Linked DNA regions of Oryza sativa Japonica Group. The protein of the gene in region 1 interacts with the protein of each later gene in a pairwise test. Links are inferred from orthologs where the notes say so. Each region holds a gene or a part of one and is shown on either strand. Other genes may lie near its edges.

Region 1 (8,610 bases):
ATAACTACAACCTACAATGCTTTCCTCATTGTAAGAATTTGGATGAATCATATGTACTATTAATATAATACATATTCCTTTACCAACCAGCCTTGGAAACCATTAAAATAATTGTTTATTTGTTTTGATATAGTAAATTCCAAAAAGATCAATACCATATATTCATCATCAAATATTACAATGGGTTAGTGATTCTACAATGATGAATTATGCACCTCTCATGGTCGAGGTAAATTTTTATGGCTACTTTTCACGCTGAATTAAGTAAAAAATATAAATACCGTTCATATAACATACTATATCATGATTATTCAAGGAGGGAGCTAGGAGAATTTTAGAGTGAAAACTGATTTATCATATACTGTATCACAATTTTGGGATTAGTCTACAGAAGAGGTTAATCAGCCAAGTGTCTAACACTTGTGTAGTCATATTTGCACAACAACCATAAATATCACATTAACAACAGAGAACCGTCGCAACAAACACCGTTTTTACATAAATAATACATTATTTGATTTTTTAGCAAAAACATGACTGACTTCACCTAAATTTAGTAAATTGATTATTGATTGCATACCAACTATAGCATGAGGACCTTTATGAACACATATATTTCAAGTGTTGTATATTTATTGACTTCACAACACACAAAGTGACAAAAAGAGTTTCAAAGTACTCTATATAAGTCTTAAAAAAAACTCTCCATATATATACTTTCGTTTTTTTTCCTGGCAACAATTATAACGACACCAATTTTCATAAATAACCAACAATCCCATTGTTGCACCACATATTGGAATTCAAAGTTTAGAGTACTTGCAAAAAATTGAAGTTTCAAATAAAAATGAAAAACCATGGTTAATAAATCTAGCACAAGAATAAAGCAAGATATTGACATGCTTTAGAAGAGCTCTCCAAGTATACACTCTTCTAGATATAAACCTTAACAATCCCAAACTAAAAAAAGTTAAGCCTTGCCTTTACCATACTGCTACTACAAATCCTAGTATTATATATGTTCTTCCACACTTTCAGCTAAAAGAACACATTAAGTGCTTAATACTACTACGTGTTGTTAAATTTGCATGTAGTAATTCTGATATCCACACCAAAAATATCTTCCACATGCATGGCATGAGTCATGACAAGTAGGGAGTAGCAAATAAAGGAGGCCAGACTAAGGTGGTGTTTAGATCCAGGGACTTAACTTTAGTCCCTGTCTTTAGACATTAATTTAGAGTATTAAATATAGACTACTTATAAAACTAATTACATAAATAAAAGCTAATTCACGAGATAAATTTTTTAAGCCTAATTAATCTATAATTAGAGAATGTTTACTGTAGCATCACATAGGCTAATCATGGATTAATTAGGCTCATTAGATTCGTCTCGCAAATTAGTCCAAGATTATGGATGGGTTTTATTAATAGTCTACGTTTAATATTTATAATTAATTTTCAAACATCCGATGTGATAGGGACTTAAAAGTTTTAGTCCCATCTAAACAGGGCCTAAAGCCTGTAAAGTATGGCAGCATGCATGCTTGTGATAACCACTTGTACAACGTACTCCTATGGTAGGAGTATAGTGGGTGTACACAGTGTTAGTCCTATCATTGCTCATTGCCTCATTCCATGATTTCCATCTTACAAGCAAAGCAGTCATTAATGGCGACCCCATAGAAGAGGGATATATAGGAGAGAGGGTTAGCTAGCTGCTCAAATCATGGTATATGCATGCCTAAGCTCATCTTCCCCTCCCCCACAAGGCCACAACTAATTACCCAGCCTTAAAGTTACAGACTTACAGTACACAAGCTAAGGTAGTGTCCATGTGGAAGCCAATCAGAGAAGAGAGCAGAAGTGAGCAATCATGGCCGACCCCTCATCTCTCTCTCTCTCTCTCTCTCTCTCTCTCTCTCTCTCTCTCTCTCTCTCTCTTCTCTGGCATCTGTCACAGAGTGCTGCATCAGTGAGTGCAGGCAGCAGGCCAAGGCCTGAAGAGCCTGAGGTAAAATGGTTAAAAAAGGCTTGTACTGTGCCGCTGGTGGCAATGCAAGAGCATGTAAGACAGACAGGATACTAATGTCACACACACATAAAACCTTTTCCTTGTGGCATTCTTGCCATGCCCAGTGATGATAGGTGGGATAGATGGCAGCATGGCACGGTGCAAAGGAAAGCTGTGGCTGCCTGCTGCTGCTGATGCAGAAGCAGGGAAAGAGACCCAACCAATCACATGGATATAGGGGAGAGGGGAAATTGCAGTTGTGTGTGTGTGAGGGTGTGTGCGGCCATGGGGGGAGGTGAGTGAGGCAATTCTTTTCAAAGCTTAAAGCATGCATTAAATCCAAACCTTTTGGTTGTTTTGAGGAAGGTATATATGAGGGCCAGCAAGCATTGTCATGCGGCTCTTTTTCTCAGTTCCAAACAAGGCTTTGAAAAAAGAAGAAAGCCCAAGATATAATAAGGATGGCTGGAGATACTTGGATTGCATAAAGAAAAACACTTAGGGCGGGGGAGATTTGTTGCACAGGCATGCATGCACCATCTGTTTCCAGCCTACACTACAGTATAAAGAAAAGAGGCCACAAGTTTTGGAAAAGATGAAAGATAGGCTCCTCTCCCAATCCATCACCATCCCACTTATCAGTTTTGAGAACAACATCGGTCTAGTAGCAACTGCTCCTGAACCCACAGGAGGAAGCAAAAGCATGTCCATGCATCAGCAACAAAAGAGTAAAAATCAAAACAAAGCAAAGCAAGCTCGAACCTACATCGATCAACTACACCTAGCGCAACGCAACAGCCAACAGACACAGAGGCTTGCTAAGCTAAGCTAAAGCTTGCCATCGTGTTGCTGCATTCTCACAAGCCTAATTCTAAGAAGCTCCGAGTGAATTCTTGAAACAAAAACCAATGACATGCGCAGCAGCAGAAGAGATCGATGGAAAACCAACCAACCAACCAACCGATATGTAGTAGCATCAGTAGTAGTGCACTTGTGCTACCTCCAAACTTTGCTCCTCCCGAATGCAATCGACAATTCCTGCATGTCAAGAACACCAAAACCAGCAGCACAAGATTGATCAGCTAACTAACACGAGAAAAATTCTGAACTAATGCAGGTTAGCCATGAGAATTCTCGGTTTTTTTTTCTCACCGTGATGGAAGTGGAGGAGCTAGCTGATAGTCTGGTACATGGTGTGGTGTTTGCTCATGGTGGATTGGTGGTGGTGAAGTCATCTGCTCGCCACTGCTGCGGTCAGTGGTGAGAAGCCGAGGAGACAGACGACGGCGGCGGCGGCTTGTCGCCATTGCCGCCGCCGCCGCCGTTGTGCTCCTCGTCGCCCTGTATCCTCGCGGGGAGGCGGAAGCCGGAGAAGCCGATGCCGGGAGCGGCAAAACCGATGGCCGCCGACACGGAGGGGCTCAGCCCTCCTTGGTGGTGGCTCATCTGGTTGTCGGCTTCGACGGTCTCCGGCCATCCTCGCTCGGAGGGCTGGTTACTGGACTGAAGGGGTCCCCTCTGGAAGAAGAACTGGCTCTGGTGGCCACCCAGCGCCGCAGCCGCCGCCTGCATATGCGCCGCTTGCTGCGACACGTTGAACAGGTAGGCGGCGCCGCCGCCGCCGCCGGGGTCGGGCACGTTCCACGGCAGCATGCGCTGGTTCTGCGCCTGCTGCTCGGTGGCCCACATGGCTCCGCCGCCGAACGAGTAATTGGCGGCGCCGGAGAAGAGCGCCTGCTGCGTGGTGCCATTGCCGCCGCCGCCGCCGCCGCCATGGCGATGTTGCTGGTGGTGGAACATGGGGTCTGGTAAGGACTGCAGCGACAGCCGGAGCTCCTGGCTCTGGCTGCCGGTGCGGGACAGGAGGTCAGGCGTGTAGCTCTGGAAACCCATGGCCGACGACTGCGCCGCCGTGGTGGACGACGATGCCTCCCCGCCTGCGGTGCCACCCATGGGGAAGAAGGACTTGATCGTGTCGGCTATGGCGTCCGAGTCGAGCGACGGCGGGAGGAAGCTGGTCCCGCCGCTGCCCCCGCCGGCGAAGTCGAAGGCGGTGTGCGCGACGGTGATGGCCTGCGCCTGGTCGTCGGAGTTCTCGGCGGAGTCGGGGTGGGTCGAGGAGGACGGCGGCGCGGCGGCATTGCCCGCGCCTGCGCCGCCGGCAGTGGGCTGCCACGCCGGCAGCACGTCGAGCTTGTCGATGGCGTCCTTGGCGTTCTTGATGAGCCAGTCCACCGCCTTGCTCGGGCGGTCGTAGCCCAGCCGGTCCTGCACGTCGTAGAACTGGATGGCGGTGTGCGCCGACAGCCGCACGCGGCGGTCGCGCGGCCCGCGCGCCGTGCAGACCTTGCTGTGCCGGTCCTTCCGCCCTGTCGACCGCACAATGTGCCCGCCCTGCACCGCCACGATCTCCCCGCCGCCGCCGCCGCCTCCGCCCCTCGACCGTGGAGTTGTCGTCGCGGGGACAATCTCACCTCCACCTCCACGACCCCGAGTGTGGGACGCGGCGGGGGGCTGTGGCTGCGCCGTGAACTGATGCAGGTGGTGGTGGTGGCCGACGCCACCGAAGGAGAGGAGCTGAGGCTGGAAGCCGTGTTGGTGGTGGTGGGAGTGGCCGCCGGCGTCGCCCATGGGCGAGAGAAGGGCATACTCGGCGGAGGAGCCCGACAGCTGCCTCACGGACGCCGGCTGGAGGTGGAAGACGGGAACAGGCGGCGGTTCTTGGTCCTGCTGCACACCCTGGTGGTGGTGGAGCTGGAGAAGCCGGTGGTGGTCGTGCTGCTGCTGCTGCTGCTCATCTGCCTCCTCCTGTCCCCCGCTTCCTCCTCCTCCTACGCCGCCGCCGTCGCCGCCGTGGGTGACCCGGTGGTGGTGGTGCCTCGGATCCAGATCCCCCGCCGCCTTCTTCCCCGCCGCTACTGTTGCTGCTCCAATGCGCGTCCATCCACCTCGCCGGATCCCATAACTAGGTCGACAAGAAACACAAAAACCATCAAAAGAATCAACAAGAAGAAGGCCCCGGAGGAGGAGGAGGCTGCAAGAAGAAGAGGTGGTGGCCAGGGAGGGACTGACCCAGGAGAGGAGTGGGGGACTAAACTAGACGCAATCCCATGGATTGGACATCACATTTTAACAGGGGGGACGGCCAGCCAAAGCTTTTGCTCCTCTCTCACTCTCTTGTTGGGTTTGTGTGGGAAGCTTGGTGAGCAGGAGGCAGAAGGGAGGCAAGAAGACAGGATGATAAGAGTAGGATTTGTGCTTTAGTGAGGAGAGAGAGAGATAGAGATTTTTGCTTCACACTGCTGCTGCTGATGCTGGCTGCTGCTTTGTGTGTGAGTGTGTGTATCAGAAGCAGATGGAGCTTACCTTAGCTTGGCTGGGGCTGCAGGAGGCTGGAGCCCAAGTGATGAAGAGAGGTGGTGATTTGGGAATTGGGAAGGGATGGATGATGCTGGGGGATTGTGGGTTATGCATGCGTGGATGATTAGGACATCTGTTGTATTATTAAAAAACAGTAGACAACGATCGAATCGCGATGAAACTCGAACACACACACGTGTACGTGCCTTTGGGAAAAAAAATAAAAACCGGAGGCACACACCCTAGTCTCCATGGATAAGGAATTAAGCGCATCTCGATAGCTTTATGGTAATATATAGCAATTTTAACTATGTTTATATATACGTTCGTGTATATGTAACCGCTAGTATCTACTCGCACAATTGTGGAGTGATCTACTTAGCCGATTTTTCTTTTTTGTTGTACAGTAGACATGTTTGTCATGACATGAATATCTATGCTCTTCAGAAGCTAACTTGTGGTATTCTTAGAGAGTGCTTGTACTATAATTCTTGTAGTTGGGCAGTTGCATAGGCAAGTAAGATGGCAACTGGAGCTTTTTCAAGGGTATATGCCAATGGTTAATGATTTTCCTTTTTGGAAAGTCGAGAGTTGCAATATTAGTTTCAAATGTGAGACCTTTCCCCTGAGATACTTGTTTATAGATTGATGGTGTGTTTTATTTGTAGCCCCACCTTGCTAAAAGAGGGTTTTATGTGGCGTCATTGTCCAAACTTGCCCCAAGTTTGATCCATTGCATGGAAATAAGATCAAGCTATTTTTAGTTCATTTGATGCCAAAAACATAACGGGTCGAGGGACCGAGATGGTGCCCATAGATTTGTTCAAAAAAGATAGAAGGAAACACCCCTCATTGGCACATCTACATACAGGATAGTGTAAACTTGTACTTCCTCCGTTTCAGGTTATAAGACGTTTTAACTTTAGTCAAAGTCAAACTGTTTTAAGTTTGACCAAATTTATAGAAAAAGGTAGTAACATTTTGAACCAAAGACAAATTTATTCTAAAAATATATTCAATTATTGATTTGATGAAACTAATTTAGTATTATAAACATTACTATATTTGTCTATAAACTTATTTAAACTTGAAACAGTTTGACTTTGACCAAAGTTGTTTTATAAACTGAAACGGAGGGAGTATTTCCCTAGTTTTTATTCTTCTTATTCTTTTTTTTTTGAGAGAGAGAGAGAGAGAGAGAGAGAGAGAGAGAGATTTCCCTAGTTCTTCTGCTTAGTTGGAGTGCTCAATTTCATGGCTGCTATGGGTAAGCCGTAGTACATCTCAAAGGGAAGAATGCTAAAAACATAATTCAGCCCTATATGAGAATGAAAAGGCCAATTTATAATGTTGTACGATGGTTCAAGAAGTCTGGTGGTGAGACATGATCATAACTATAGCTAAGAGCAATTAACCAGCTACCCAATCATGCCGAGCCCACACATGTGGTGAAGTTTTGAACCTGCTAGACATGAACAGAGTTTGGAAATGACATGTACAGTATGGAGTACATAGTTGGATGTCTTAACTGAAGATAGATTGATTTGTCATAGTTAAAGAGGCAATTATATTGAAAGGACATGTAATGCATGCGAAATGTACCACTTCATCCATTTCAGAGAGTAATACACACTCCATCAAAGTTACAAAATGGATGTCACTTGACTCACTTCTACTGTACACCCTAAAGGAATAAAGAAAAAAAAACTTCTTTCACCACAGATTTTTCTCAGCCACAAGTACTTAGTATTTTTTTAAAAAAAATTATGTACACTATCAGTACCGCATAACATGTTTTCATGACCAGAAGTATAGAAAAAAAAATAAAGCGATTAGTTCTCTAGCTTTGTTTGTTCGGATCAATTGAGATGCATCTGATAAGGCGTGAAAAAAAATAAACAAGATAAAAAAAATATAATTTATAGGTAAGAATGTTATGTATGTACTCCATCCATCCAAAAAAACAACCTATAAGTTATAGTCTTAGCTAAGAGAATGTTATGGGACGGAGTGAGTATTGTTTACCGTTTAAATTAATAACAAGTCTTAAAAATAGACTACGATGACAGAACCCAAAATCAAATATAAAATCAAGCTTTAATTGTAAAATTATTTGTTTTCCCGCAAATTTTTTTTAAAATTTTGGCTGTGCATAAGAAGCCAACAAGCAAGAGCTAGCGAGAGCCCCCTTCTCCGTTCCGTTGCCGTCCCGTCCCGCCGCGCGAGATCCGTGGAACACACCAACTCTGTGCACACACGACCAATAAATCTCTCTCGCGCGCGCACACACTCTCCCTCCCTCCCTGCCTTGCCTGCCAATGCATGTGTGCAGTGCTGTCCCTGTGGTGTGATCTCTTACAACTTTTGGCCTCCTCCGGGGGCAGCCTTTAATTGCTTTGCCGAAAGAGACGTGGCCTTTTCATCCCACACACACATGCATATGGCCGATCGATCACTGGAACAGAGAGATGCACTTGCTCATCAGTTTGCTCCTCGATGGCATAGGTGGCATTAATGCGTGTAGCTCTACAGCTAATTAAACGAGGAGATTAATAAACAACTCGATCAGGATCTCGCTTTGCCGCTGCTGCAGCATGCATGCATGCTACTACGCTGCTATGGTTGGGTGTTTGTTTCCCCCTTCTGTATCATCATGTGGTGTTGTTGTTTCTCTCTCTCTCCTCTCCGGCCAGACAAGGGACATTCCAGTGGAATGAAAAACTCAGCATTAAAATCCCCAACACCCTGTCCTTGCCACATGATCGAGATGGTTATTGCTACGTAGTACTCCCCCTACTGCTGCTGCTGGCTGGCTGCTGCATTGGGCCCTCTGTCTCTGAATGTGTACGGGTCCGGCTGGCTCAGTGGCTCACGTGATCGCTGGCTGTCCAGAAAACTCACATAGGAGTAGTAATTTTTTTTTATTCACAGTGATATACTCCCTACTACTACTACTATATTATACATCCAAGTTGATCTGCAACGAGTATCTACGGCGTGTTTACTTCGTGTGCCAATTTTTTTTTAAAGTATATAAACACACATGTGAAGTATTAAACGTAGACTAATAATAAAACAAATTACAGATTCCGCCTGTAAACTGCGAGACAAATTTATTAAGCCTAATTAATCCGTCATTAGCAAATGTTTACGGTAGCATCACATTGTCAAATCATGGTGTAATTAGGCTTAAAAGATTCATCTCACAATTTACATGCAAACTATGCAATTGCT
Region 2 (7,465 bases), on another chromosome or scaffold:
TGGCCTTCTCAACTCTTAGTTGATTACACTTGAATCAAGTTTTTTTTAACAATAGAATAAAACCTAGTCTCTACAGCAACAAAGATGGTAGCCAATAACTTCAAAATAAACAACCTCATCCATTTATATGCATCCACCTACACCCCAAAATCTTCTGAGAGCTCACCTTTTCACAATGGCGAAAGCCCTTGTGCCATTGAATTGGGTTTGCCAAATCACCACTTTCGCTATCTTTCATTTTGAGAGAAAATAGAAACATTTCTAGTCTTTACCAAGGTTACCAAAATCAGGTGTTTGCTCCCCCTCTTTTGCTGTAGTGTGAGAAATAATCCCGCCTAAAACAAGTGAATCTATCTTACAACTAACAAGTCACACACGTCATCTTTCTTAAAAAAAGGGAAATAAAGAGGACAACAAATCGGGTGAGGATCCTCTACCATAATATCACTATACCATTACGGTCACTTATATGTGAGTTCCGCTTTCTTAGTGTTACACATATCAATGTCTATAATGGTAGTGTCATTATGGTAGAGGGTGTAAACCCCAACAAATCATTGTCGCGAACGCAGCTATTAGCAACTAGAATTACCCTATGTTGCCTTCCTCAAAGACTAGCATTGATTACCTTAATCGACTTTCTTGTCCCCGCATGGAGATTATATGCTTACTGCAACTGTGCAATAAGGATCGAAGCAGTCTAGGGCAGATTCGCAACCCCAGATTTTGATTCGATGATCTAGATTATGTATTAAAGAACATTTGTGTAAACCTAGATTTCTCATCATGCATTGCTAATGCAACTGCTAAGTTGTAGTTATACTAGCAACCACACCAGATCTTGGTCCCCAGTCCCCAAGCCATAAAAACTACCACACATGTAAAGGAATATCTTACCTTCTAAATTACTACCTCCATATTTTAATGTATGACGCCATTGACGTTTTGTTCAACGTTTAATCATTCGTCTTATTTAAAAAATTTATGTAATTATCATTTATTTTATTATGACCTGATTCGTTATCAAATGTTCTTTAAGCATGACATAAATATTTTCATATTTACATAAAAGTTTTGAATAAAATAAATGGTCAAACATTGGTCGAAAAGTCAACGGTGTCGTTTAAAATACGGAGGGAGTACTTTTTATCATTTAAAATTTGAGGATTTGTCCAAACGTCGAAATTGGATAATAATGGGTGACAATCAACTTTGCCATTTTGTCTTTCCAAAAAATTTTCCGTTAAAGTACGGCTGAACCATTTAAGCCCTCTCGCTTTGGTTCTTTTGAATATTTTTATTGTTTAAGCCGCTGTTTTTTAAACCTTAAGTAGTAGACTGTTAGCTTCACATAGACCAGAAAAGCTACTGTAACCTAGCTTTTAGCTTAACATAGAGTGACTTATGACCTTAAAAAATACAAACGAAAAAATATCTATTTATTTAGGTTTAAACATAAACAAAAGAGGGCCTTAATCAACAAACAGCCGGATGCTCATGCTCATGTGTCGTTGAGAGGATCCCACTCGATAATCAATTGGCTTAATAAACTCAGCTAGAGGGGTAAAATATCGATCAGTAGATCACACAGATAATAATCCCTTTTATCAGAAGCTGATTTCCTATAAGAAAAATGTAGAGCAGCCGCATCCACGATGCGCAAAACAACCAAAAGGGCAATATTCAATCCACCGAACACCCTTCAGGATAATTCGTATACAAAACTTGCAGGTACACAACTAATTATGGTCCAATTCCTAAGCTGCGTAAACGGTGGAAATGTACATACAAATTGTCAATCGAACAGTCCTCATGCCATCGAAATGCTTCTGAATTTAGTTAAAATAAAATGCTTCTGAAGAGAACCATCCCATCACAGCTCGCATACAGAACACCCTGCTTGAATTCAGAGGATAAAAACATCATTATAACAAGAAAACTAACAAAGAATCACAAGGGGCACGTACCTGTTAAATCTGTGTTAAATCCTCTTAAAAGGATCAGTACTGCATCTTTAAGTTCACATTGAACCTTTTGCTTCGGTAACAGCTGACAGATCTGTACAGATTTCAGACTAACTGCTTATCTTTCACCGCAATAAAGCTTGTACCAGGATGATATAATCATCACTTACCTGACTTGTGCACTCTGCAGATACTTTGTAGTTAATCTAGCTTGGTGGGACTTGGGAGCATTTTGTTTAGACAAACAAGTTTTTTATCTGACTTGTGCACTCTGCAGATACTTTGTAGTTAATCTAGCTTGGTGGGACTTGGAAGCATTTTGCTTAGACAAACAAGTTTTTTACCTGACTTGTGCACTCTGCAGATACTTTGTAGTTAATCTAGCTTTGGTGGGACTTGGAAGCATTTTGCTTAGACAAACAAGCTTTTTACAATAGGGGGTAACACCCCGCAAAACGAGGACTGATAATGGAGTACCAAATTCAATAGAGTTGGTAGCTCATCGTCTTATCTGGAAAAAAAAACTGTCTTCAAACTGGAAAGATAATACTACTTCCCTTATTTGTTTACAACAAATTTCTTTGTTTGCCTCTTGTTACTTCTTTTACCATACACAATAACTTCCTCAGTTCAAATAGTCTTCTTGTCTAATGTAATTGAGTTTCCTTTTTTTTAAAAAAAAACTAGTGAGTTGATAACCCAGCATGTTTCTATGGGTATACACAACATATTTATATTGCTGCTTTTGGCAAACCTGGATTCTGCATTTCTTGACTCTGTTTTCATATCCAATAGTTCTGGCAAAGGGAGGCAGCAAGCTTGAGACAACAACTGCACAGCTTGCAAGAAAATCATCGGTATGGCCATAAAACCCTGCAAGTTTTTCAATGTTCCATCAGAAAATTCCTCAAGATAGAAAAACATAAACCATCATATATCTACTACTATGAAATACATGCATCATGAACCCTTGATGATGAACTTTTTTTTTTTGTGGGGACTTGCTCATGAATCCAGCAACTGCTAGCGACAATAATACTTCCAGCACCTGATTGTATAGTAAATATAAACTAGTACCAGATCATAAAAACAAGCACCTAGTGCTTGGGTATATGATACTTAGAAAAAAGAAGAAAAAACAGAGTATGAAAGTGATATATGCTGATTCCAAATTTCCTATAGATAATGCATTGTTTAACCTTCACAAACAAAAGAAATGAAGAAGGCACGTGAATTTTCTATATCATTTAAAAGTAAGAAATATATACCTTCAGCCATTCGATTTTTATGCATTTCCGGTTATCTCTAAAAGAAAAACAGAACTGAGCACCCATCAAAGGCGGACAGACCAAATTTACAAAGGAGAGTGAATATCACATTTTCTTCACCTGTGCTTTCTGCCTGGTAAATTATTGTTCAAACACTCCATTTTGTCCTTCAGGCCTAATTTACAATACCTAAACTAGAAAGGTACAAATTATTTTTATTATCAATTAACAGCTGTCTGTTGATCAGCTAAAATTAAGTGTCAATATTCACTCTGTATATCATCAGAACAACACTATAACATCCATTGGTTGATGGCAGGCAGTTGATGGGGCAAGATCTTTCTGGATTGGGTGTCAAGGAACTGCAAACTCTAGAAAATCAGCTAGAAATGAGCATACGCTGCATCCGGACAAAAAAGGTCAACCTACTAACCATATTTTTTTGTTGGGCACCTGATTGATTATATAATGGATTAACTTAAGATCAATATTGTTGTTTTCAGGACCAGCTCATGATTGATGAAATCCACGAACTGAATCGAAAGGTTCTACAACATCATGTACAATTGCTAAATCTTTGAATCAGCTAGTAAGCTAACTCTATTGCTGGCTTATTTGCAGGGAAGTCTCATCCACCAAGAAAACATGGAACTGTACAGAAAGGTCAACCTGATTCGCCAAGAAAATGCTGAGCTGTACAAGAAGGTACTTGATAAATGCAGATAGATGATTTCACAGGATATACGCTTCATTATATGATGACAGCTAATCTCTCTCCTCAGCTCTATGAGACAGGGGCAGAAAATGAAGCGAATCGAGATTCAACAACTCCATACAACTTTGCGGTTATCGAGGAAGCCAACACTCCTGCTCGTCTTGAACTCAATCCCCCAAGCCAACAAAATGATGCTGAGCAAACCACACCTCCTAAACTAGGGTAACTCAGATTTTCTGCACATGATCCATCTATCCATTCTCAGTTCTTTAGTGAAACATCAATTATAACTTAATGAAATTATTGCAGGCTCCAATTGCATCCATGACAATTTATGGTGTGGAAGTGTTGCCTATATTTTCACTATTCTTAAGGGCTACAGTTCAGAGCTCTTAAAATGTATTGGTCATAAAGAAGCTAACACATAACAAGACACAGTTTGCATGCTTGGATGATTAATATCTGATACTGTAAAATCTATTCGAATAAAAATGTATTATCTGAAGAGCCCATGAAAATTATTTTCTTATGACTATTTGGCACTATCTGCAAGTTTGTTTACCCAAATGACAGCTACATGTGTGCAAACTTATTGGCAAAAACAAACAGTGCGCGAAGTGTAGAGCATGCAAGATCAATGCTCTGTTTTATCTTAAAAAGCCATAAGCAGACAGAAGAGATGAAAAGGCATTATAATTTATCTGTGCAGATGTACCAGAACAAGAAAAGTATCAGCAAGAGCGACGCCAGGGGGCGGAGGGGCCTGGCCTCTTCCCACCCCCTCCACCCTTCTATTCTGCTGATGGATTAGCTAGGCACTGTGCTTGCACGTATGTATGTTTAGCAAGAGCGATAAGGTCTTTACTCTAGCCTTGTAGGCACACAACACCATCTATTTCCTTTTCCTTTTAGAATACCGAGTAATATGTACTAATCATTTGTATTATTTACATCACTAGGTGGCTAACATTGAAATTTTAAATTTCTAAAATATTAGTTAATACTTGTAACAGATGGATAGTTTGTTGCTCTTTTTGCCATAATCTAGTTCTTATTTTTTGTTTATTTTTTTCCTGTTTACCTACACTTTTAGCTTGAATGGTACAATCACTGCTTATAATCTGTCTGCTCATAAGGCTAAATTAACCTGCCTGTGTTTTAAATTGTCGTGTGTTTTTTTATACTGATACGGTATATTACCTATGGGGAACATTTAGATTAGCATAAACTTTTCTACGCTATTTTTTTTATAATCTTAATCACTTATAAAGCTGGGCCCCCTCATACTTAGATCCTGGCTTCGCCACTGGGTATCAGCGTTCAATCTTTCTTAATAATTTTAGACACATGTGCTCATTAAAACTTTTCTTACTGTTCTAAGAAATGCTCGCAAATAGTACCTTTAGCAAAACTTTATACACATAAAATAATCAGAAGCACATCAATGTAATATGTCCAGAAAGTTTATAGCGAAAGAATCATTTTGTCCAGGACCCAAGAACTTGGACCTTACACCTCTAATTGTGCCTCTTAAATACCCATGCACTTTCATGTTACTAACTTATACCACCGGATAGAATGATTATTAGTTATGTATATCAGAAAAACTATTTTATACTAGGCACGAGACCTTGGGTAATAATTACATCATAACTTGTTTCAAATAATTCTTGGAATTTGTAATGTGTACTTCACTAGGTTGGGAGCGCCTAATCCCCCGAGATATGAAAATGAAATAATGCATGCAAAGACATGGAAAATTTCAAAAATAAAGTAACATTCATGAACAGTTCCAATAATAATATTAACATACTACCTCCATCCCAAAATATAACTTTTGGCTATGAATCTGGACACACAGTTGTCCAGATTCATAGCTAAAAATGCTTATATTTTGGGACGGAGGGAGTAGAGTATGATGGCATCTACAAGGAGACAAGTGTCAAAGGGAGTGAATTAATCAAGTTTTAATAGTGTGTGGGGTAGAGAAAAGAATGTTAGATACTTAGAACATAATGGATGGTAATCCAGTTTGTTGAATTTTTAAAGTTCTATGCAAACATAAATGCAGTATAGAAAGTAAAGACAAACGGTAAATACCAATTATGTACAAGACATAATGTAAATTAGATACTTAGAACATAGTAGTTTTATATAGAACGGTCCATGTGTTCATTCATATACCTTGATAGGTTGAAGGTAGATCCTTCTGAAGATTACACCAAGGACTTGGTACAACACGTTCGTAATTATACAGGTACATGACTCTCACAAGGACTCTTACATAGACTCTCACACTTAGAATTTCATAAGTCTTTTATTTAGGTTATAACTATAACTATCTACTAACACTTAGATGGAGTGAAGTGTGATGGCTGGTGGAGAGGTGAAGAGGAATGGTTGAGTGAGATGTGTTGTGGTTGTGTTCCTGAGCCCCTTATATAGGACTCGGTGAAGAATCTTTATGATATCTCCATTTGACTTTAAGGGGTTTTATGATTATCCCTTTAGACTTCACGGAGAGAATCTTTGGTGATGACGCTTTTGACCTTCAATAAAAGTATCATAATATCGCCTTTTGACTATAGGCATATCTTATCTTGAATAGTGTAGATTCCTTATCTTCAATAGTGTTTTTTGTCGAGGATAACAAGATCTTCATTCATTATCTTCACCGTATAAGTCTTCTACAGACATCTTTTACAACGTTCCTAAATCAGATTGAAGAATCTGATCTAGTGTTGCATAGATAGAATTGACAAGACCACGATCTATAATGGTTTGGAGAGGTTTGGAAAGATATTTCATCTTGGTTGTTGTTTACACCCAAATTTGGCACCTAGGGTCGAAATAGGAAAAATTGCGAAAGTTTGGGGCTCTGCCGGTTTCCTCCAGAAAGGGCCGGTCTGACCGCCATATGTGGGCCGGTCAGACCGCCGCCGGAGAGCCGGTCAGACCGGTGGCATGTGGCCGGTCTGACCGGTAGAGTCTGAGTTAGACTCCGTTTTCGTCAGGTCTCGGGTGGTTGGCGACTCCATATCACCGCAAGGCGTTTAGGTGCTGCGATCGTGCTTGTTGACTTGTCACAAAAAGTTGCTCTTGCCTTTGATACCAGCTCTTGCCCAAACACCATATATATTGCATAATCATCCCAATTCCCTCCTTCCACAATATATACTTCGGACCCAGCCAATAGCACCATGTAGACCGTGTGCCTACAAAGATTCTTACCAAAAGAAACTTAAAGGCCAAAATCCCATGAGTACCGCATATGAATATCTCCAACCCAGATTGAGCTTCAAGACAGAGCAAATTTTATCTTGCTTTGGGCAAGACATCCTCGACCTTGTTTGGCAAAAGTTTAAAGAGAGACAAATGAAAATATTTCAAGATTATTTCTTTCATCTCTTATAAGGCAGAGAAAGAAACCCAGCCATACAAGTAATCATATACATGCTTCCTATCTTAAGGTTAGATGATCATCAGGTAATCTCTGACCCATCCTATAGATTCATGGT

Evidence for each region. The genes of interacting proteins can lie anywhere in the genome.
Region 2: the proteins of transcription factor PCF5 (region 1) and MADS-box transcription factor 27-like interact in binary tests that used the Arabidopsis thaliana proteins (3 or more experiments, as listed by UniProt). The link is inferred for Oryza sativa Japonica Group from reciprocal best matches to the Arabidopsis thaliana genes TCP4 and AGL21.

Annotation. Positions count from the first base shown.
Region 1 is NC_089035.1:6,228,760-6,237,369, forward strand, and holds transcription factor PCF5, read right to left. Parts: upstream 5,423-8,610; 5' UTR 5,089-5,422; intron 5,082-5,088; exon of another isoform or gene 4,982-5,081; 5' UTR 4,648-4,981; coding exon 3,271-4,647; 3' UTR 3,169-3,270; intron 3,055-3,168; 3' UTR 2,601-3,054; downstream 1-2,600. UniProt on the Arabidopsis thaliana protein: Transcription factor playing a pivotal role in the control of morphogenesis of shoot organs by negatively regulating the expression of boundary-specific genes such as CUC genes, probably through the induction of miRNA (e.g. miR164).
Region 2 is NC_089038.1:23,538,336-23,545,800, forward strand, and holds the end of MADS-box transcription factor 27-like, read left to right. Parts: intron 1-1,602; exon of another isoform or gene 1,603-1,896; intron 1,897-1,967; exon of another isoform or gene 1,968-2,058; intron 2,059-2,134; exon of another isoform or gene 2,135-2,759; coding exon 2,760-2,821; exon of another isoform or gene 2,822-2,837; intron 2,838-3,276; coding exon of another isoform or gene 3,277-3,334; exon of another isoform or gene 3,335-3,483; intron 3,484-3,551; coding exon 3,552-3,651; intron 3,652-3,735; coding exon 3,736-3,777; intron 3,778-3,853; coding exon 3,854-3,937; intron 3,938-4,014; coding exon 4,015-4,169; intron 4,170-4,256; coding exon 4,257-4,275; 3' UTR 4,276-4,482; downstream 4,483-7,465. UniProt on the Arabidopsis thaliana protein: Probable transcription factor.